Caenorhabditis elegans: one gene and its partners. The protein of the gene in region 1 interacts with the protein of each later gene in a biochemical or structural test. Each region holds a gene or a part of one and is shown in the gene's direction. Other genes may lie near its edges.

Region 1 (7,429 bases):
TAGTTTAGCAGCGCCCAAATCTTGTAGTTTGTAGCTTAGCAGCGCCCAAATCTTGTAGTTTGTAGTTTAGCAGCGCCCAAATCTTGTAGTTTGTAGTTTAGCAGCGCCCAAAATCGAATTAGCAGCGCCCAAAATCGAATTAGCAGCGCCCAAATCTTGTAGTTTGTAGTTTAGCAGCGCCCAAAATCGAATTAGCAGCGCCCAAATCTAGTAGTTTGTAGTTTAGCAGCGCCCAAAATTGTATTAGCAGCGCCCAAATCTTGTAGTTTGTAGCTTAGCAGCGCCCAAATCTTGTAGTTTGTAGTTTAGCAGCGCCCAAATCTTGTAGTTTGTAGTTTAGCAGCGCCCAAAATCGAATTAGCAGCGCCCAAAATCGAATTAGCAGCGCCCAAATCTTGTAGTTTGTAGTTTAGCAGCGCCCAAAATCGAATTAGCAGCGCCCAAATCTAGTAGTTTGTAGTTTAGCAGCGCCCAAAATTGTATTAGCAGCGCCCAAATCTTGTAGTTTGTAGTTTAGCAGAGCCCAAAATCGAATTAGCAGCGCCCAAATCTAGTAGTTTGTAGTTTAGCAGCGCCCAAATCTAGTAGTTTGTAGTTTAGCAGCGCCCAAAATTGTATTAGCAGCGCCCAAATCTTGTAGTTTGTAGTTTAGCAGCGCCCAAATCTTGTAGTTTGTAGTTTAGCAGCGCCCAAATCTAGTAGTTTGTAGTTTAGCAGCGCCCAAAATTGTATTAGCAGCGCCCAAATCTTGTAGTTTGTAGTTTAGCAGCGCCCAAAATCGAATTAGCAGCGCCCAAATCTAGTAGTTTGTAGTTTAGCAGCGCCCAAATCTTGTAGTTTGTAGTTTAGCAGCGCCCAAATCTAGTAGTTTGTAGTTTAGCAGCGCCCAAATCTTGTAGTTTGTAGCTTAGCAGCGCCCAAATCTTGTAGTTTGTAGTTTAGCAGCGCCCAAATCTTGTAGTTTGTAGTTTAGCAGCGCCCAAAATCGAATTAGCAGCGCCCAAATCTTGTAGTTTGTAGTTTAGCAGCGCCCAAAATCGAATTAGCAGCGCCCAAATCTTGTAGTTTGTAGTTTAGCAGCGCCCAAAATCGAATTAGCAGCGCCCAAAATCGAATAGCAGCGCCCAAATCTTGTAGTTTGTAGTTTAGCAGCGCCCGAAATTGTATTAGCAGCGCCCAATTCTTGTAGTTTGTAGTTTAGCAGCGCCCAAAATCGATTTAGCAGCGCCCAAATCTTGTAGTTTGTAGTTTAGCAGCGCCAAAACTTTTTCCGGCAGTTTTATCGAATTTTGGTCGAATTTAGTGATTTTTCGGAGTTTTTCTGCAGTGAAAAGGCGATTTTTAATCATAATCATAATAAAATGTCATATTTTCAGTTGGTTTTCCTCCCGAAACCACTTGAAATTGCAAACGCACTGCGGAGATCCACGAATCTTGAACAAGTGCACTTTCTGCGGATTCTCCAGCTCCTTCAAAATCCCCTCCACTTCCGTAATCCACGTCTTCAGGCGCTTCTCCGTAACGGCTGCCACGCCATCGGGACGTTTTTCGGCTCCACGGATCAGAACATCGGCCGTCGTTTCTCGAGTTTCATCGTCCAAACGCATCGAGAGAAAGGCTAAAAGCTCGATGAGCTCGTGCTTCACAGCTTTTTGAGCTTCCGAGTTCTCGAGAAGGTGAAGAGCATCCTGGCCTGAAGCTATTGCCTCGCCGACTGCTCCAGTGTCATCTGCTACTAGGTCGACTACTGCGGAAAAATCAATAACCGCATCGTCTTCTGCAGCAATTCCGAAGTCAATTTCATCGCCGCCGCCGAAATCGATCTCATCCGAGTCCTCAGCGGCGGTCAGGAGCATCTCGAAATTCGGTTTTTCCACTTTATCCGGCTTCTGGTTATACTTCCACTCATAAGTCGTCACGTCAAGCCCCCGCTCTCCAATTAACCCGATTATTGGAAGAATCGGAGCAGCATCCTTTGGAGCAGCTCCCAGGCTCATATAGTCCCGGAAGGCCTGAAAGTAGTCGCGGGCCGCGGAGATTTTCCGGATTTCCGCGGTGATTTTCTCGTAGAACGCGGGGAGATCTGCGGCGAGTTCGAGCAGTTCTTTTCGCAAATGAACACCTTTCAACTGCATTCTGGAGATTTCCTTCTCGAATTGTTTCCGGCCATCTTCGGCTTGTTTCCCGTATTCTGAGTGTTTCCTGATTGCATCTGTCACGGATTGATCCATCTTGGAGATTTGTTTCCGCAAGGCCGGAATCTCGTATTGGGCCAGTCGCTGGAGAATTTGGGCCGCTTCTGCCAGGTAGACATTGTCTTTTTTGTACATTCCCTCGATTTCCTGCCAGTCCTTCATACGCTGGGAGGAGTAGAAGCCCAGAAAGTTTTTCGTGTCTTTTTCCGTGTCGCGCAGGATTTCGATGATTTGGCAGCAGTGGAAATAGTTGATATCTGGAAAAAAAATCGAGTTTTTAGCTTAAAAACTGAATTTTTGGCAATTTTCAGGTCAAAAAAAAATAAATTGAATAAAAATCGATTTTTTGAAGATTTTTACGGCAAAAATAGCATTGTAATGCATTTTTCTAACTAAATTTGGCGAAAAATAATTTTAAAAAATGTTATTTTATCAGGTTTTTGCAGAAAAAAAGTTTGGCGCTGCTAATTCAATTTGGGGCGCTGCTAACACTACAAACTACAAGTTTTGGGCGCTGCTAATTCAATTTTGGGCGCTGCTAACACTACAAACTACAAGTTTTGGGCGCTGCTAATCCGGATTTCGAGCTGTTAATGGGAATTTTATCGAAATTTCTGCATTTTTTTCGTAAATTTCGGCACGAAAACTAAATTATAGTCGGTTTTCGCCGCAAAAATCACAATTTTATATGTTTTTCTGACTGTTTTTGGTGCAAAACTGAATTTTTGGCAATTTTTAAATTAAAAATTGAATAAAAATCGATTTTTTGAAGATTTTTACGGCAAAAATAGCATTGTAATGCATTTTCCTAACTAAATTTGGCGAAAAATAATTCAAAAAAATGTTATTTTATCAGGTTTTTGCAGAAAAAAAGTTTGGCGCTGCTAATTCAATTTTGGGCGCTGCTAACACTATAAACTACAAGTTTTGGGCGCTGCTAATCCAGATTTCGAGCTGTTAATGGGAATTTTATCGAAATTTCTGCATTTTTTTCGTAAATTTCGGCACGAAAACTAAATTATAGTCGGTTTTCACCGCAAAAATCACAATTTTATATGTTTTTCTGACTTTTTTGGGTGAAAAACTGAATTTTTGGCAATTTTTAGATTAAAAATTGAATAATTACGGCTTTTTTGACAGAAAAATTTATTATTTTTTCTATTTTAATGATTTTTCTCGCTAAATTTGGCGAAAAACGACTAAAAACTGTAATTTAATTGGATTTTTCTCAAAAAAATGGTTTGGCGCTGCTAACATTACAAACTACAAGTTTTGGGCGCTGCTAATTCAATTTTGGGCGCTGCTAAAACTACAAACTACAAGATTTGGGCGCTGCTAATTCAATTTTGGGCGCTGCTAAGACTACAAACTACAAGTTTTGGGCGCTGCTAATTCAATTTTGGGCGCTGCTAAAACTACAAACTACAAGATTTGGGCGCTGCTAATTCAATTTTGGGCGCTGCTAAAACTACAAACTACAAGATTTGGGCGCTGCTAATCCGGATTTCGAGCTGTTAATGGGACTGTTATTGAATTTTTTGCATTTTTCCGTAAATTTAAAAAGTAAAGGTAAAGGTTGTCCGTTTGGTTCAAGGGTGAGCCTAAGCCTCCTGCGGACAAGAGAGATTTTATTCGTTTTTCTGACTGTTTTTGGTGAAAAACTATTTTTTTTAATCAGATTTTTTGCAAAAAAAACTTGGTAGTCGAGCCTTTTTGTAGTTTTTTAACAATTTTTTGGTCTTTTTTGGGCAAAAAACCAACTAACACGCTCCTTGCAGCAGCTCCACGATTTTCGGCGACTCCGGCATGTCCAAAATGGCATGTTTGATCTTTTCTCGAATCGCCACCACGCTTTTTTGCCAATCTTTGTTGCAATGACGACGGGAAACCAGCCAATCTAAAGTTTTTGCGGTGTTTTTTGGGTTAAAATTAATGGATAACGAGTTACCAAGCAATTTACTGCTGTGAATATCGATTGGCAAGTCGTCTGACATGATTTTTTATCTGAAAAATTAAAATTTTAACTTAAAATTCAATTTTAAATTCAGAAATCTCCCAAAAAAAGAAGAAAATTTCGATGGAAAAATACACGTCAGCCACTGCGTAAATCGACACAAATTTAAAGGCGCATGCGGTTTCGTGTGTGTTGGGTCTCGCAACGCCCGCATTTTTAGGTGTTGATTTGAAATGAGTTTTCCTTTTTTTTTCGTCTTTTTCACTCGAATTTCATGATTTTCAGTTGATTTTCAATTGATTTTTTGGTTTTTTTTGCTGAAAATTAATTATTTTTTGATTAAAAAGCTTTTCGAACAAGAAAATACATGAATTTTGGCCCTAAAAGTGGATTTCAGAGCATGTGGATCTCACATTAATTAATTTAATAATTAACCTTTTTCCAGCGGGACAATGAGTACCGAAAACGGGAAGTCCGCAGATGCGCCGGTGGCGGCACCGGCTGCAAAAGAGTTGACCAGCAAGGACTACTACTTCGACTCGTACGCTCACTTCGGTATCCACGAGGAGATGCTCAAGGACGAGGTGCGAACCACCACCTACCGGAACTCGATCTATCATAACTCGCACTTGTTCAAAGACAAAGTTGTGATGGATGTTGGCTCGGGAACTGGAATTCTTTCCATGTTCGCCGCCAAGGCTGGAGCGAAGAAGGTTTTCGCGGTGAGTTTTTTTTGGATTTTTTGAACGGTTTTTAAAAATTTCCTTTTCCTTCAGATGGAATTCTCCAACATGGCGCTCACCTCCCGCAAAATAATCGCCGACAACAACCTGGACCACATCGTCGAGGTGATTCAGGCGAAGGTAGAGGACGTTCACGAGTTGCCAGGAGGCATTGAGAAGGTCGATATCATCATTTCCGAGTGGATGGGATACTGCTTGTTCTACGAGTCGATGCTCAACACTGTGCTCGTCGCCCGCGATAGATGGTTGGCTCCGAATGGAATGTTGTTCCCGGACAAGGCTCGTCTCTACGTCTGTGCTATCGAGGATCGTCAGTACAAGGAGGACAAGATCCACTGGTGGGATTCAGTCTACGGATTCAACATGTCCGCTATCAAGAACGTCGCGATCAAGGAGCCACTCGTCGATATCGTCGACAACGCTCAGGTCAACACCAACAATTGTCTGCTGAAGGACGTTGATTTGTACACCGTTAAAATCGAGGATCTCACGTTCAAATCGGACTTTAAGCTGAGATGCACTCGCAGCGACTATATTCAAGCTTTCGTCACCTTCTTCACCGTCGAGTTCTCCAAGTGCCACAAGAAAACCGGATTCTCGACTGGGCCAGATGTACAGTACACTCATTGGAAGCAGACCGTCTTTTATCTTAAAGTATGCGCTTAAAAATAACTTTTTTTCGGGTTAAATACCATTTTTCAACAGTTTTTCACCAAATTTAGTCAGTAAATGGTAAAAACTTCGATTTTTGGGCTGAAAATCGACCTTTTCACAGTTTTTGAAACAAAATTCGCCAAAAAATTAAGAAAACATGAATTAGCAGCCCCCAAAACTCGTAGTTTGTAGCTTAGCGGCGCCCAAAACTCGTAGTTTGTAGTTTAGCAGCGCCCAAATCTTGTAGTTTGTAGCTTAGCAGCGCCCAAAACTCGTAGTTTGTAGTCTAGCAGCGCCCACAATCGTAGTTTGTAGCTTAGCAGCGCCCAAATCTTGTAGTTTGTAGCTTAGCAGCGCCCAAAGCTCGTAGTTTGTAGCTTAGCAGCGCGCAAAACTCGTAGTTTGTAGTTTAGCAGCGCCCAAATCTTGTAGTTTGTAGCTTAGAAGCGCCCAAAACTCGTAGTTTGTAGTCTAGCAGCGCCCACAATCGTAGTTTGTAGCTTAGCAGCGCCCAAAATTAAATTAGCAGCGCCCAAATCTTGTAGTTTGTAGTCTAGCAGCGCCCAAAATCGTAGTTTGTAGCTTAGCAGCGCCCAAAACTAGTAGTTTGTAGTTTAGCAGCTCCCAAAAGCGAATTAGCAGCGCCCAAAAGCTTGTAGTTTGTAGTTTAGCAGCGCCCAAATCTTGTAATTTTGTAGTTTAGCAGCGCCCAAAACTAGTAGTTTGTAGTAGTCTTAAGTATTAAATTTGTGTTTTTTTAAAGATTTTTGCACGAATTTTGCACTTTTCTATCGATTTTTCGAGTAAAAACCGGATTTTCTGACTGAAACCGGGGTTTTTAGGCAAAAAGTTGTATTTTTCACTAATTTTCGTTAGCTAGAAAAACCCAGTTTTGTTTTAATAAAAAAGAAAAAAAATTGCAATTTTCACATCATCTTTGACTTCAAATTCGACACTTTCGATTCAAATTTTATTTTTTTTTTCAATTTTTCGATTTTTTCAGGACGCGCTCACAGTAAAGAAAGGCGAGGAAATAACCGGATCATTCGAGATGGCACCAAACAAGAACAACGAACGTGACTTGGATATCAACATTTCGTTCGATTTCAAGGGAGAAGTGTGTGATCTCAACGAGCAGAACACCTACACCATGCACTAATTTTTGCTGTTTTTTTTTTCGTCTTTTTTCTCACACTTTTTTGCCCCCAATTTTTACACTTTGTTGATCCCCCGTTGTTCCCCCCGAAACCTCCCGATTTCCGCAGATACTCGATTGTATATACCTCGATGCGGGTTGTTGTCGCGCACCTCCTCTATCCGCGCGCACGCTCACTCTGCTCGGTACTCCATTTGTTGACCTTTTTCCATAAAAAAAAATCTGCCAAAATTCAAGTTTTTTGCAATTTTTAAGCGATTTTATAATTTATAGGTTACGCAGCCTTTAGATATATTTTTAATATTCAATCAATAGTGAGCAGCGCCAAAAGAAAAACCGAAAAATTATTTTTAAAAAAGTTTAGCACAAAAAAAATGGAAGACGGCGATGAAGTGGTGGAGCCTATCGAGCCGGAATCCGAAGACATTGTGAATCTCACAAAACGACTAGGAGTGGATCTCGTGCTGGAATCCAATGATGACTGGAAAATCCAGGAAATCGGATTTGACGGTGTGGAGAGGTACCTGCAGCCCGAGACGTTCACTGATCATGTTGGAAAATTGGCTCGGAAGGTGGAATGGACGAAGCTAGTGGGCACAAAATCGCCTTATGAAAATTCGAAGGTTGATCCCGAAGATGAACTCGATGATGAGGTAGAAGCCGGCGAAAATCAAGAAAAATCGAATAATTTTCGGGAAAAAGTCAGAAAATCATCGATTTTCAGGCT
Region 2 (5,362 bases), about 14 Mb from region 1:
TTTATTTTTTGGATTTAGTTAGATTTTTTAAATAATCAAAAACCGATTTCTTGCCGATGTCATACTGTAGACACTGTGAGAAGTAGGACTACCTCAATATTGATAAGTGCCTACCTATGTGCCTAGAAGGCAGGTGTGGCTTGCATTGAACTTAACAGTAGACGTAGGTCTCTTGAAGTTTTGCTTCCAGGCAGGCAGGTAGGCATTTGAATAATTTAAAGCTATAGTAAGGAGTACGGTAAATTACAATATCATTTCGTGATAAATTTCAGGCAAGATCGAAATCATTTTGCAATGCTCTACACCTTTCCTTATATTACGTCAACTTGTGATCGTGTCAGACTTTTTGTTCGAAATGCAGTTTCCTGGAGTTCAGAGGTCTAAAAATATTCCTGAAAAAATTATAATTCTAGATGTTCAGGTGAACCGAGCCCGAGTAGCATGCGAATGTGAAAAAATTGTGGAAATGACGCGTGGCTAACGAGGTACTTCTCGTCGCCGATCTTTCTCTTGACCAGGACCGAATAAATATTTGAAAATGCACTTATTGTTTGTTCTCAATGCCGAATTGTTTACAATGTACCTTTTGGTAAAGAGGAACTCGTTTGTACTGGCCAGCTAATAAAATATTCACATTATTCTTCATACTATGTTTTCATATAGAATTTATCAATTTTATAATTTAGATGATAACGAGTGCTGTACTCCTGGAGTCCACCAGGACTTGATAAGAGAATTGAAGCACCACTTTTATAATGAGCAGTACTAATTTCGAATCTGGAAATGATATTTCAGAAACAATCCAGGAAACACCAGAAAAATATCACCACTTTGAAAAATATGTGCATTTATTCAATTATGCTCAAATTTCAGCTTTGGCTCACGAGTGATACGGTCAACCACAATTTTCTCCAGAGTACGCAATTTACGCAAACACCAAACGATGGCGCCAAAGCGCCATTCAAATTTTATTCATCCGTTTCAGCCTTTTTCAGTCTTCTTGTCTCTCATTTTCGCCATTTTCATTGTTTTATTTACACAAACGGTCGTTTAAAATGTAGTTTCCATCTTTTTCCGATGGTTCATCATTTTTGTCATGCGTCTTTTGTGAAACTGGTTTTGCAAAACGAAGCAAAAAATGGATAACTGTGTCAAGGGCGATTTTTCGATTCGTCATGTCCACATAAACGCGATAATGTGTTTTTATCGTTGGTTTCATTCAGAAATTGGTTGATAAATACATTCTACTACATTCTGGCTGTGTGATCCAATTTTTAAATCCGAAAGTCTAGAAATTTAGTGCAAAATAAGCATGGAAAGTTCTAAACCCCTTAAAGAATACTGATCTCAGCTGTTTCTGTTCTTTTCAATCAGATTCCCAATTGCGATAATATCAAAAAGCCCTCTGCTGGACTGCTGTCCACCCGCAAGGGCATTATTTCCTTATCCCAAAATGCTCTCCGTCTGCATCTCTTCAACTCACTCACTCTCTCGCTCTCTTCGCAGTGCGAGGCCGACACGCAACGTGGCCTCTCATCAGACACGCTCCGCCTATTCTCAATGTGTGGCGACCGCCGATTGGCCAGTCGCTGACGTGGACCAATAGATACGCGGCACCTCGAGCCGTGTCAGCCACGCAAGACACACGTCGACTTACTCCATTGTCGTAGCAGACGAGCTCAGTTCAACATCATCAGTTTCAGTTTTGCTCTTGTTCGGTTTCATTTCTAGTCTTTCTTCTCTGAAATTCTCGAATTTTATTCTTTGGTATATTCTCATTCAATTTATCTCTTCTTTTTCCGATTCATATGTTTAATTGTTATATTTACTTTTTAATTTCAGATTCAACTTGGTGTCGTTTTATCGAAAAACGAAATGAAATCACTCTGCCTGTTAGCAATCGTTGCCGTCGTTTCGGCTGAAGTCTACTTCAAAGAGGAGTTCAACGACGCCTCATGGGAGAAGCGATGGGTTCAATCCAAGCACAAGGATGACTTTGGAGCCTTCAAGCTCTCAGCTGGAAAGTTCTTCGATGTTGAGTCCCGCGACCAAGGAATCCAGACCAGCCAAGATGCCAAGTTCTACTCCCGTGCCGCCAAGTTCGACAAGGACTTCTCCAACAAAGGAAAGACTCTTGTGATCCAATACACCGTCAAGCACGAGCAAGGAATCGACTGTGGAGGTGGATACGTTAAGGTTAGTATTTTAAATTTCTTGATGTGATAATTTTTTCGCATTAGTTTGTTAGTATCAAAACATGTTTCTCAATTAAAACAATATTTATTTTCCAGGTCATGAGAGCTGATGCTGACTTGGGAGATTTCCACGGAGAGACCCCATACAACGTCATGTTCGGCCCAGACATCTGCGGACCAACTCGCCGTGTCCACGTTATCCTTAACTACAAGGGAGAGAACAAGCTCATCAAGAAGGAAATCACCTGCAAGAGCGACGAACTCACTCATCTCTACACTCTCATCCTCAACTCCGACAATACCTACGAAGTCAAGATCGACGGAGAAAGCGCCCAAACTGGAAGCCTCGAGGAGGACTGGGATCTTCTTCCAGCCAAGAAGATCAAGGATCCAGATGCAAAGAAGCCAGAGGACTGGGATGAGCGTGAGTACATCGATGATGCCGAGGATGCCAAGCCAGAAGATTGGGAGAAGCCAGAGCACATCCCAGATCCAGATGCCAAGAAGCCAGAAGACTGGGATGACGAGATGGACGGAGAATGGGAGCCACCAATGATCGACAACCCAGAATACAAGGGTGAGTGGAAGCCAAAGCAGATCAAGAACCCAGCCTACAAGGGCAAGTGGATCCATCCAGAGATTGAGAACCCAGAGTACACTCCTGATGATGAACTCTACTCTTATGAAAGCTGGGGAGCCATCGGATTCGATTTGTGGCAGGTAAGAAACTTTTATTCTATTTTTCAAAAATGAAACTCAAACTTTATTTTTTCAGGTCAAGTCAGGAACGATCTTTGACAACATTATCATCACCGACTCTGTTGAGGAGGCCGAGGCCCATGCTGCCGAGACTTTTGACAAATTGAAGACTGTTGAGAAGGAAAAGAAGGAGAAGGCCGACGAAGAAACCCGCAAGGCTGAGGAGGAGGCTCGCAAGAAGGCCGAGGAGGAGAAGGAGGCCAAGAAGGATGATGATGAGGAGGAGAAGGAAGAGGAGGAAGGACACGATGAGCTCTAAGCAAATCGTGCACAGCTTTTCAACTCGCTTCATACAATCGCCCCCACTCCATCACAATTCCCCCGCATTCAAGTCTCTCCTATTCTCTCGGGTTAATTGATTGTTTTATTAATTTATTGAGCATCCATTTTGATGCTGGATAGCCTTTCTTGTTTTATAATAAAAAAATTTTAAAACCTATTTACGAGTTCGATTAGTTCAATGAATATAAAATACAGGATCAGATACATAGAAAAGCGATAAAAACCGGCACAAAATAGGAAATTGATATGTGATTCAATTAAAGTGATTGACGCAACTTCAGCCATTCTACAAGCCAATTGGGAAGCGTTTCCTCGCATTCGAGCATAAAAGAACACAGCTGCTCGATAATATTCGACATTGGTCCGCCAAATAAATGATGCTCATCGATGAGGACAGTAGCTCTTCCACCACATCCATCGCGACCAACTCGTCCGATTCTATGCATGTAGCTCGGAAAATCGGTGGACATTTCCATGATTATTGTCTGAAATATGTGACTTAAGATAAAAAATATTTGGGTCAATAGTAGCCATGTTTTTATCAATTTAATATATATGTAAACTTACCTGTTTCACAGAAGACACATCGATTCCTCTCGACATAATATTGGTACATACAACTCCATGAATGTTGCAAAACTCCAAATCATTCAAAGTGATTGCTTGTTGTTGTTTCAACACACTACTGCATACAGGTTTGAAATTATATCCCATCTGACGAAGTGCCATAGTTACCTGAAAATGTTCTCAATATTTTTAAAATCGAAAGAATAGGGGTAAAACCTGAATAACTCTTGAGACAGTTTCACAGAAAATTGCAATAGTATGCTTCCATGGGCCTTCTTTTGTGCTTCCCATTTCCTTGAGATCATCATCTAACAATTTACAAATAATATTCATCTTAACGATCCAAGGATTCGAATGGATATCATTTACTCGCTGTCCACCAATTCGAATAACTCGTTGAGTGATATATCCAGGCAATCTCGGACAATGGATCAGTGACCATGGATTTTCACCTAACATTCTTGATTGACGTGAAGTTAATGCAATTGAACCATCTTCGTTTCTGTTGTGAGACGCAGAAAAGAAACAAGATTGAAGATTTCTGAGCACATCCTCTTGTAGTTGGTCTAAAACCCAATCAATGTCATTTCCGAAGCATGCAATGTCAATCATTTTATCAGATTCATCCAAAATCATCATTTTCAAATTGTCAAGAAGAATTGTTTTATCCTCGATCGATGCTTTCAGCTTTCCCATCGTACAGAACGCAATATCGCATTGATCTATAAAGAATTCGTTTTTTTTTGGTTAGACGAATGCTGTAACGAACCTTTTGTGAACTGATAGCTAGCAACTAGTTTTTCAATTTTAATATCTCGAATAGGTATAATATCTTCCATATCTATCAAACCAAGAAGAACTTCACAACGATTAAAAAGTTGTTCAACGAGTGAGTTGGTATTTGCAAGAATAAGAATAGTTGGTGATGGCGTGGTTGAAATATTGGTAAGCAATGGTCGCTCCCTCAATGCAATTTCAATCGCCGGAATAAGAAACGCATAAGTCTTCCCGATTCCAGTTGGAGCATCCACTAGAAGTCCTCGGCGGTCACGAATAGCTTGAATTGATTTTTGTTGAACTGCATTCAGAATATGAACTTTTATTCGTTGCAAATTGGCGGCAAGTCGGTGATCTTCTATTGCATGTGCAACCATCCTCTCTGTTCCATAATCAGCTGGAGTTTCTACTCCGTCTTGATCCACCATTATCGTGTTCTCCTCACAGTGTTTATTCAATTTGTCAGTTTCAGCTTTTGAAGATGTGACTGCGCCCAACTGCTGATGACGATCTCTCATTGCTGAAGAAAAGTTATTGAAATATTTAATTGCCCAGAACATGGTTTACCAAAATAATAATCTCTAGTTTTAATAGATCTGAAGTTGAGTACATTTGCATACTTTGGAGGAACTAAATCAATGTGCTCAACTTGTACCCGACTATCGTCTAATGCATCGGCAGTGTTCCAAGGATGAGGCATCTACAAAGATTATTACAAAAATGTTTATATTTTGGTTTGAAAATAAATATTTGAACGAAAAGTAACGGTTTTTACGACACAA
Region 3 (5,537 bases), about 10 Mb from region 1:
CACTTCCAATTTCAGAAACAACTCCAGAACTCTCATGGCCTAAAACCTGAAAACTTTTTTTTTTAATTTTTAAATACACTTTTTTGTTCACTGGAGTTTTTTAACAGAAATATTTTATTTTAAAATTGATTATTTTGATTAAAAAAAGGAGGTTGTACTATACATGTGTTCTGTCAAAATAAAAGGGTTGAATTACTCACGGTAACACTATAAAATTACTTTTATATTTCTCACCATCGGTTCTTTAACAACAAATGATCCAATTGCTCCGTGTGTCAAAAAGTGTACATCACTTCCACAAATACCAACAGTATTAATTTTAACAAGAACTTGTCTTGGTCCCGGTTTGGAAATTGGAGCTTGTTCAAGACGTAAATCGTTTATTCCGTAGAGGACAGCAGACAAATTATCTTGAGACATTTCAAATTAGAAGGATTTAATATCAGGTTAAAAATTGAATAAAAGGATGCTTTCACGAATAAGCGGATGCTGAGCTCAACTACGTTGTTGTTGAGAGTCTGGCAGAATGGACACATGTCAGTGCCCAGTACAAAATGTTACACCCATTTATTTTGATATTATCGCATCAAGCCAAGCTGGTCAAAAACTAAAACAACTTTATCACAGGAATTCAAACAGAAAATTCATACTACATCCTACTGGTGTTCATTAGTAAATATATAATACAAGACGTATAAGACAATTTTCAGAAATTCCAAATATCAGGTTACCATAAATCTCGGAATTAATACGAAACATCATACTAGTTAAATGACAATTTTGTAAGTCAGATGAAACATTGAAGGAATGTTTAATGTTTGCACAGTAATTAGCTAAAAATTTCAAAATTTGATTTTGTTGAAGAACTTTAAATTCAAAATTATTTTGCCCGAAAGTTGAGGATTTTTTTCTATTGAAACAAGAATGTATGTTATCCTGTGCATAAATGAGTATGAAACAAAAAAAAGTCCCATTAGAAATCATAGACATGGTCTAGCTTTTAAACCATTAGGTTTGCGGATCAAGATTAAAATTCGAATTTCGGTACCGCTTTTATTGGGGATATCAAAAATTGGTTTGCGCTGCTGTGGAGGAGTGCCGAAAAAATAGTATTAATTCGTGAATTTTCATGTGCATATTATTCGATCAGAAAGTTAAACGAGCATTCTAGATTGAATATCAAAAGTTTCGGAATCATAGAATTAGAGAAAATTATTTGTTTGTTTTATAGTCTGTTTTTTATGCCATTTTTTGCCTAAATTAAAAATTGAAATATGAGTTGTGTTGTTTCTTGTTATTTAGTAACAAACATAAAGTCACTTTTGTCGTAAGATATATTTTGTAGTCAGGTAGTTGAAATGTCATCATCACCGTTATCTTTCTAGAAACTCAATCAATAATACATGAGACGCAGACACTACAAATACGCTATTCTCTGTTCTGTGATCTCGCTACGAACCAGGCTACAAACTACAACCTAGCCGTCTCACGCACACTATTTCTCTTCTTTGTAGTCTTCTCTGTCAATACACTCCAATACATTTGGCCACACAAACGTGTCTCGCCTCTATTTTCTCTTATTTCTCACCTTTTTATTTTCTACATTTTTCAATTTTTGATATAATAATTTTTCGTTACAAAATCTTAATATTTTCAGGAAAATAAAAATTTTCACAAAATGGAGCAGATACCTCAGGAACAAAAAACAGAACCTTTTCTTGCTTCATTCACGACTACAGAAAAACTTGGAACGGAAACACCGACTACGTCAATTACTCCTAATACTCAATTTCGTGGAAGGTATGAAAAACCAAATTGTGCGGTTTGCAATGAAGTTGGAGATGGATTACATTTTGGAGCAGAAGCTTGCAGGTACCTTTTTGATTTTTTATTGATCACCGGTTGTTTTAGTAATTGAAAAGTTTATCGGGCAATCGACTTCAAGAATTTTTAAAATTCATTTATATATTTGATTAACTTTTTCCAATTATTTTTTAACAAGATCTCAATTGAAAGTTCTAATAGCTTAACACTTATAATTTCCAAAAAACTTTAAGAGCATGTACTGCATTTTTCCGACGGAGCGTGGCACTTTCAAAGAAATATGAATGCAGAGCAGGCAGAAACTGTGAAGTTTCTTCGAGTAAGTATAGCGATCATTTTTCAAATTATTTGTTTTCTTCTTTCAGATATTCGATGCATGTGCCGCTCGTGTCGATATGACAAATGTATAGAAGTTGGAATGAATCCAGAATGTGTTCAGAATCGTCGAGAAAACGATACTCCCAAAGCTGATCTTCAATTTGATACTTCAAAAACTGAAATCAGACGACCAATTCCAAATTTTAATATTGTTCCACAGGCTTCAGCTGTTCCATCAACATCCAACTTTATGGATTTTTCAATATTCAAAGATACACCAATCAGTAATTTTTCGGCATTCTCCCCTGCATCGCTTCCTGGACTCAGTTCTTCACCATCTCTTGAAACGATGCCTCTTCTCGAAAGAATGAGAATTAATTATGATAAAATGGAAAATGCAAGGAATGTGATTCATCGAAGAGAAGGAGAAAATATATTTCAACAAAAAGTTCCAAGAGCAATCACATTTCGAGAGGCAACTGAAGTAACAACAAAGGAAGTTTCATTAGTTGCTGATTGGATCGAATGGTGTTTTGACGATTTTGGATTATTACCTGTTGATCAGAAAACGATTTTGTTTCAAAACTTTTTTGTGTTTTTCTGTATGCTTGAAAGAGCATTCATGACTGTCAAAAGTGGTGAGTTTTTTTTTGAAAACTAATACGAGAAATCAAAACTTTAAAACATGAATGATTTCAGGACGTGATGGAATTGTTGTAATGGCTTCAAAAGACTATATTGACTACGATAATCTTGAAGGATTTTTCAAAGAATGCAATAGTGGAACAGGTGGTACTCCTGCAGAAATTGCAAAGTAAGTAAATGTTCCGTTCATGAAACGTTGTCCTGACAGTGGTACTTCAGACTTTGCAGACTGATTAGGCCGTCATTCGAATTACAAAAGAGGAGTCTTATCAACTTGATGCGATTGGAAAATGTAGATTCTTACGAGTTTTTTGCATTATGCGTTATGTTGTTCTGGGATTTTGGATTGGAAGGACAGTCTGATGAGTGTAATGAAGTTGGACGACGAGTCAAACATCGAGTTACAAGAGAAATGACTTTTTATTTGAGAAATGTTAAGAAACACGAAGAACCACTTTATAGGATGGCAAGTGTCGTGTCTATTCTGCCAAGCTTACAGGTAATTTTTTGATAAATTATTCATTGAAAAATCGAAAGTACGGTGTTTAACTATTTTTATTCCAGAGAGCAGTTCGCCGTTTCCAAGAGGACATCGAAATGGCTAATATCTTCAATATTTATGCTCTACCTGAGAATTTCGTCAATATTATAAATGGAAAATTTAATTGATTGTGGTTTTTCTATCTGTGATATACTTTTGTCCATCTTTCATTGAAACCTTGTAACTAATAGCTGTGATCTTTTTCGAAAAATTAAATAAATAAGTATTAATTAAACTTTCTCGGTCAAAATTTTGGAATATCACTTATGATTGTTTTGTTGAAAACTCCGCTTTTCAATTTCAAATTTTAACTGTGTACATGAACTAGCAAATTTAAACAAAATGAAAATGGTAATTCCCTAGAAAATATGAAAATATGCTCTATCCGTTAGTTGTTACTCTTAAAATAAGTTTAAGTAGAAAACAGTTTCCAATCTTCTGACCCTTTGAACATAAAAATGTAGTTATTGTAGTTTGGCTTCATACTTGAAAATAGCACGATTTTGTAAGAGAGTTTTGGTTGTACCCGATAAGAAAAAACAAGTCTCAACAGGTCACAAAGGCTACAAACGTAGGCAGTATCTCAATTCTCTCACTTGGACCAGGCAACGTATTCTCTTGTTCGTATCTTTCTACTTTTTGTCTGTGTTTCTATTTCTATTGCACTCACTTATAATATTATGAAGTTATGGATTCATTGAATTTCCAATTTTTTGAACAAGGATTATCACAAAAGGAAACAAAAAAACCGAACTGTGCAATTTGTGGCGATGTTGGGGATGGTCATCACTTTGGTCTCGATGCGTGCAGGTTGGTTTCAAATAATGGGGTTATTCAAGTAATATCGGAAAATTAAAGTGTAGAAAAATTACGACGCAACTGTATTCAAGTATATAAAAACATGTATTTAAATACATTTTGCTACATTGCTTAAATAACCTCATAAGAATATTATTGTTTAAGTTACAATAACAATTTTAATTTAAGAGCTTGTGCCGCATTTTTCCGAAGAACTGTGGCTCTGGGAAAAAAATTCGAATGTCGACAGCAAGGAGCTTGTAAAATTAATACAAGTGAGTTTTTTCATTACTTCTTATTCTCCATTAATTTTAATTTGTTTCAGTCATTCGTTCAATATGTAAAAGTTGCCGTTTGAACAAATGCCTAAACTTGGGAATGAAAAGAAGTTGTGTTCAACCAAGAAGAGATAAACCTCAAAAAGAAGAAAAACTAATTTTACCGTCCATGAATGTTAGTCCAGCTGATATTGAAGTCTCATGCATTGAAGTTCCGATAGCTGTTGAAGCTATGCCCATTCTTCAGAAAATGCTGGCGAATTACGAAAAATTGAAAAATTCGAGAAATATCATCCATAGAAGAGAAGGTGATAATATATTTGAGAAACGAACTCCGAGATCTTTGAAATTTCGAGAAACATTGGAAATATTATCAAATGAAATGTCACTGGTTGCTGATTGGATTGGATGGTGCTTCAATGAATTTGAATTTCTTCCAACTGATCAGAAATCAATTCTTTTCTCAAACTTTTCTGTCAATTTTATTGTTTTGGAAAGAGCATTTTTGACAAGTAAACACAGTAAGCTAATAATTTATTGTTTGAATATATTTATTGTTTGAACACATGTATTTTAAAAATAATTTTTTCAGATAACCTAAACCAATGGGTTTTGCAATCGGGTGATTATATACAAATTGACAACCTTGAAGAATTTTTCACAGATGAACAACTAAAAATTGATGGTACAAAACTTGCCAAGTACGTTAAAGTCCAATTGAATAATTATTAAATATTTACATTTTCAGACTTTTCAAGCCATCACTAGAGCAAAATGATAACTTTCATAAACTTTTGAAGTCAGAAAAAATTGAAATGTACGATTTTCTGGTTTTTGTTGTTTTATTATTCTGGGATCATGGAATTGTTGGACAAACAGAAGAGTGCCGAGAAATATCCAAAAAGATGAAATCAAATGTTACAAATGAATACATTTATTATTTGAAGTATATTCAAAAAAATGAGAACCCAGTATGTCAGTTGACAATGCTTGTGTCGATATTAACATGCTTGCAGGTACAGTTGATATTATTTCATTAATTTAATAATTAAAATAACATTTCCAGAGAATCGTCTGTCGATTACGAGAAGATATGTCACTCGCTCATGTTTTTGATGGTTATACGCTTCCAC

Evidence for each region. Proteins that work in one complex are often made in the same cells at the same time.
Region 2: of the proteins of prmt-1 (region 1) and crt-1, one has a biochemical effect on the other in vitro, tested with the Caenorhabditis elegans proteins (one study listed by BioGRID).
Region 3: of the proteins of prmt-1 (region 1) and nhr-12, one has a biochemical effect on the other in vitro, tested with the Caenorhabditis elegans proteins (one study listed by BioGRID).

The regions. Positions count from the first base shown.
Region 1 is NC_003283.11:20,266,877-20,274,305, reverse strand, and holds prmt-1 (Protein arginine N-methyltransferase 1), read left to right. Parts: upstream 1-4,594; 5' UTR 4,595-4,601; coding exon 4,602-4,871; intron 4,872-4,925; coding exon 4,926-5,546; intron 5,547-6,549; coding exon 6,550-6,705; 3' UTR 6,706-6,929; downstream 6,930-7,429. Other genes in the region: cdkr-3 (CDK5RAP3 protein homolog), read right to left, coding at 1,417-2,452, 3,961-4,092, 4,144-4,189; mdt-17 (Mediator of RNA polymerase II transcription subunit 17), read left to right, coding at 7,077-7,355. UniProt on the Caenorhabditis elegans protein: Arginine methyltransferase that methylates (mono and asymmetric dimethylation) the guanidino nitrogens of arginyl residues present in target proteins.
Region 2 is NC_003283.11:6,097,023-6,102,384, reverse strand, and holds crt-1 (Calreticulin), read left to right. Parts: upstream 1-1,842; 5' UTR 1,843-1,875; coding exon 1,876-2,196; intron 2,197-2,291; coding exon 2,292-2,915; intron 2,916-2,970; coding exon 2,971-3,213; 3' UTR 3,214-3,393; downstream 3,394-5,362. Other genes in the region: Y38A10A.11 (DNA-directed DNA polymerase), read left to right, coding at 273-378, 422-481; smut-1 (Synthetic MUTator), read right to left, coding at 3,494-3,721, 3,804-3,971, 4,020-4,525, 4,573-5,100, 5,148-5,280. UniProt on the Caenorhabditis elegans protein: Molecular calcium-binding chaperone promoting folding, oligomeric assembly and quality control in the endoplasmic reticulum (ER) via the calreticulin/calnexin cycle.
Region 3 is NC_003283.11:10,080,164-10,085,700, reverse strand, and holds nhr-12 (Nuclear receptor), read left to right. Parts: upstream 1-1,651; 5' UTR 1,652-1,678; coding exon 1,679-1,872; intron 1,873-2,057; coding exon 2,058-2,143; intron 2,144-2,189; coding exon 2,190-2,780; intron 2,781-2,841; coding exon 2,842-2,956; intron 2,957-3,006; coding exon 3,007-3,286; intron 3,287-3,351; coding exon 3,352-3,456; 3' UTR 3,457-3,568; downstream 3,569-5,537. Other genes in the region: R04B5.6 (Sorbitol dehydrogenase), read right to left, coding at 1-46, 235-420; nhr-205 (Nuclear Hormone Receptor family), read left to right, coding at 4,017-4,138, 4,316-4,401, 4,452-4,925, 4,997-5,105, 5,153-5,420, 5,471-5,537. UniProt on the Caenorhabditis elegans protein: Orphan nuclear receptor.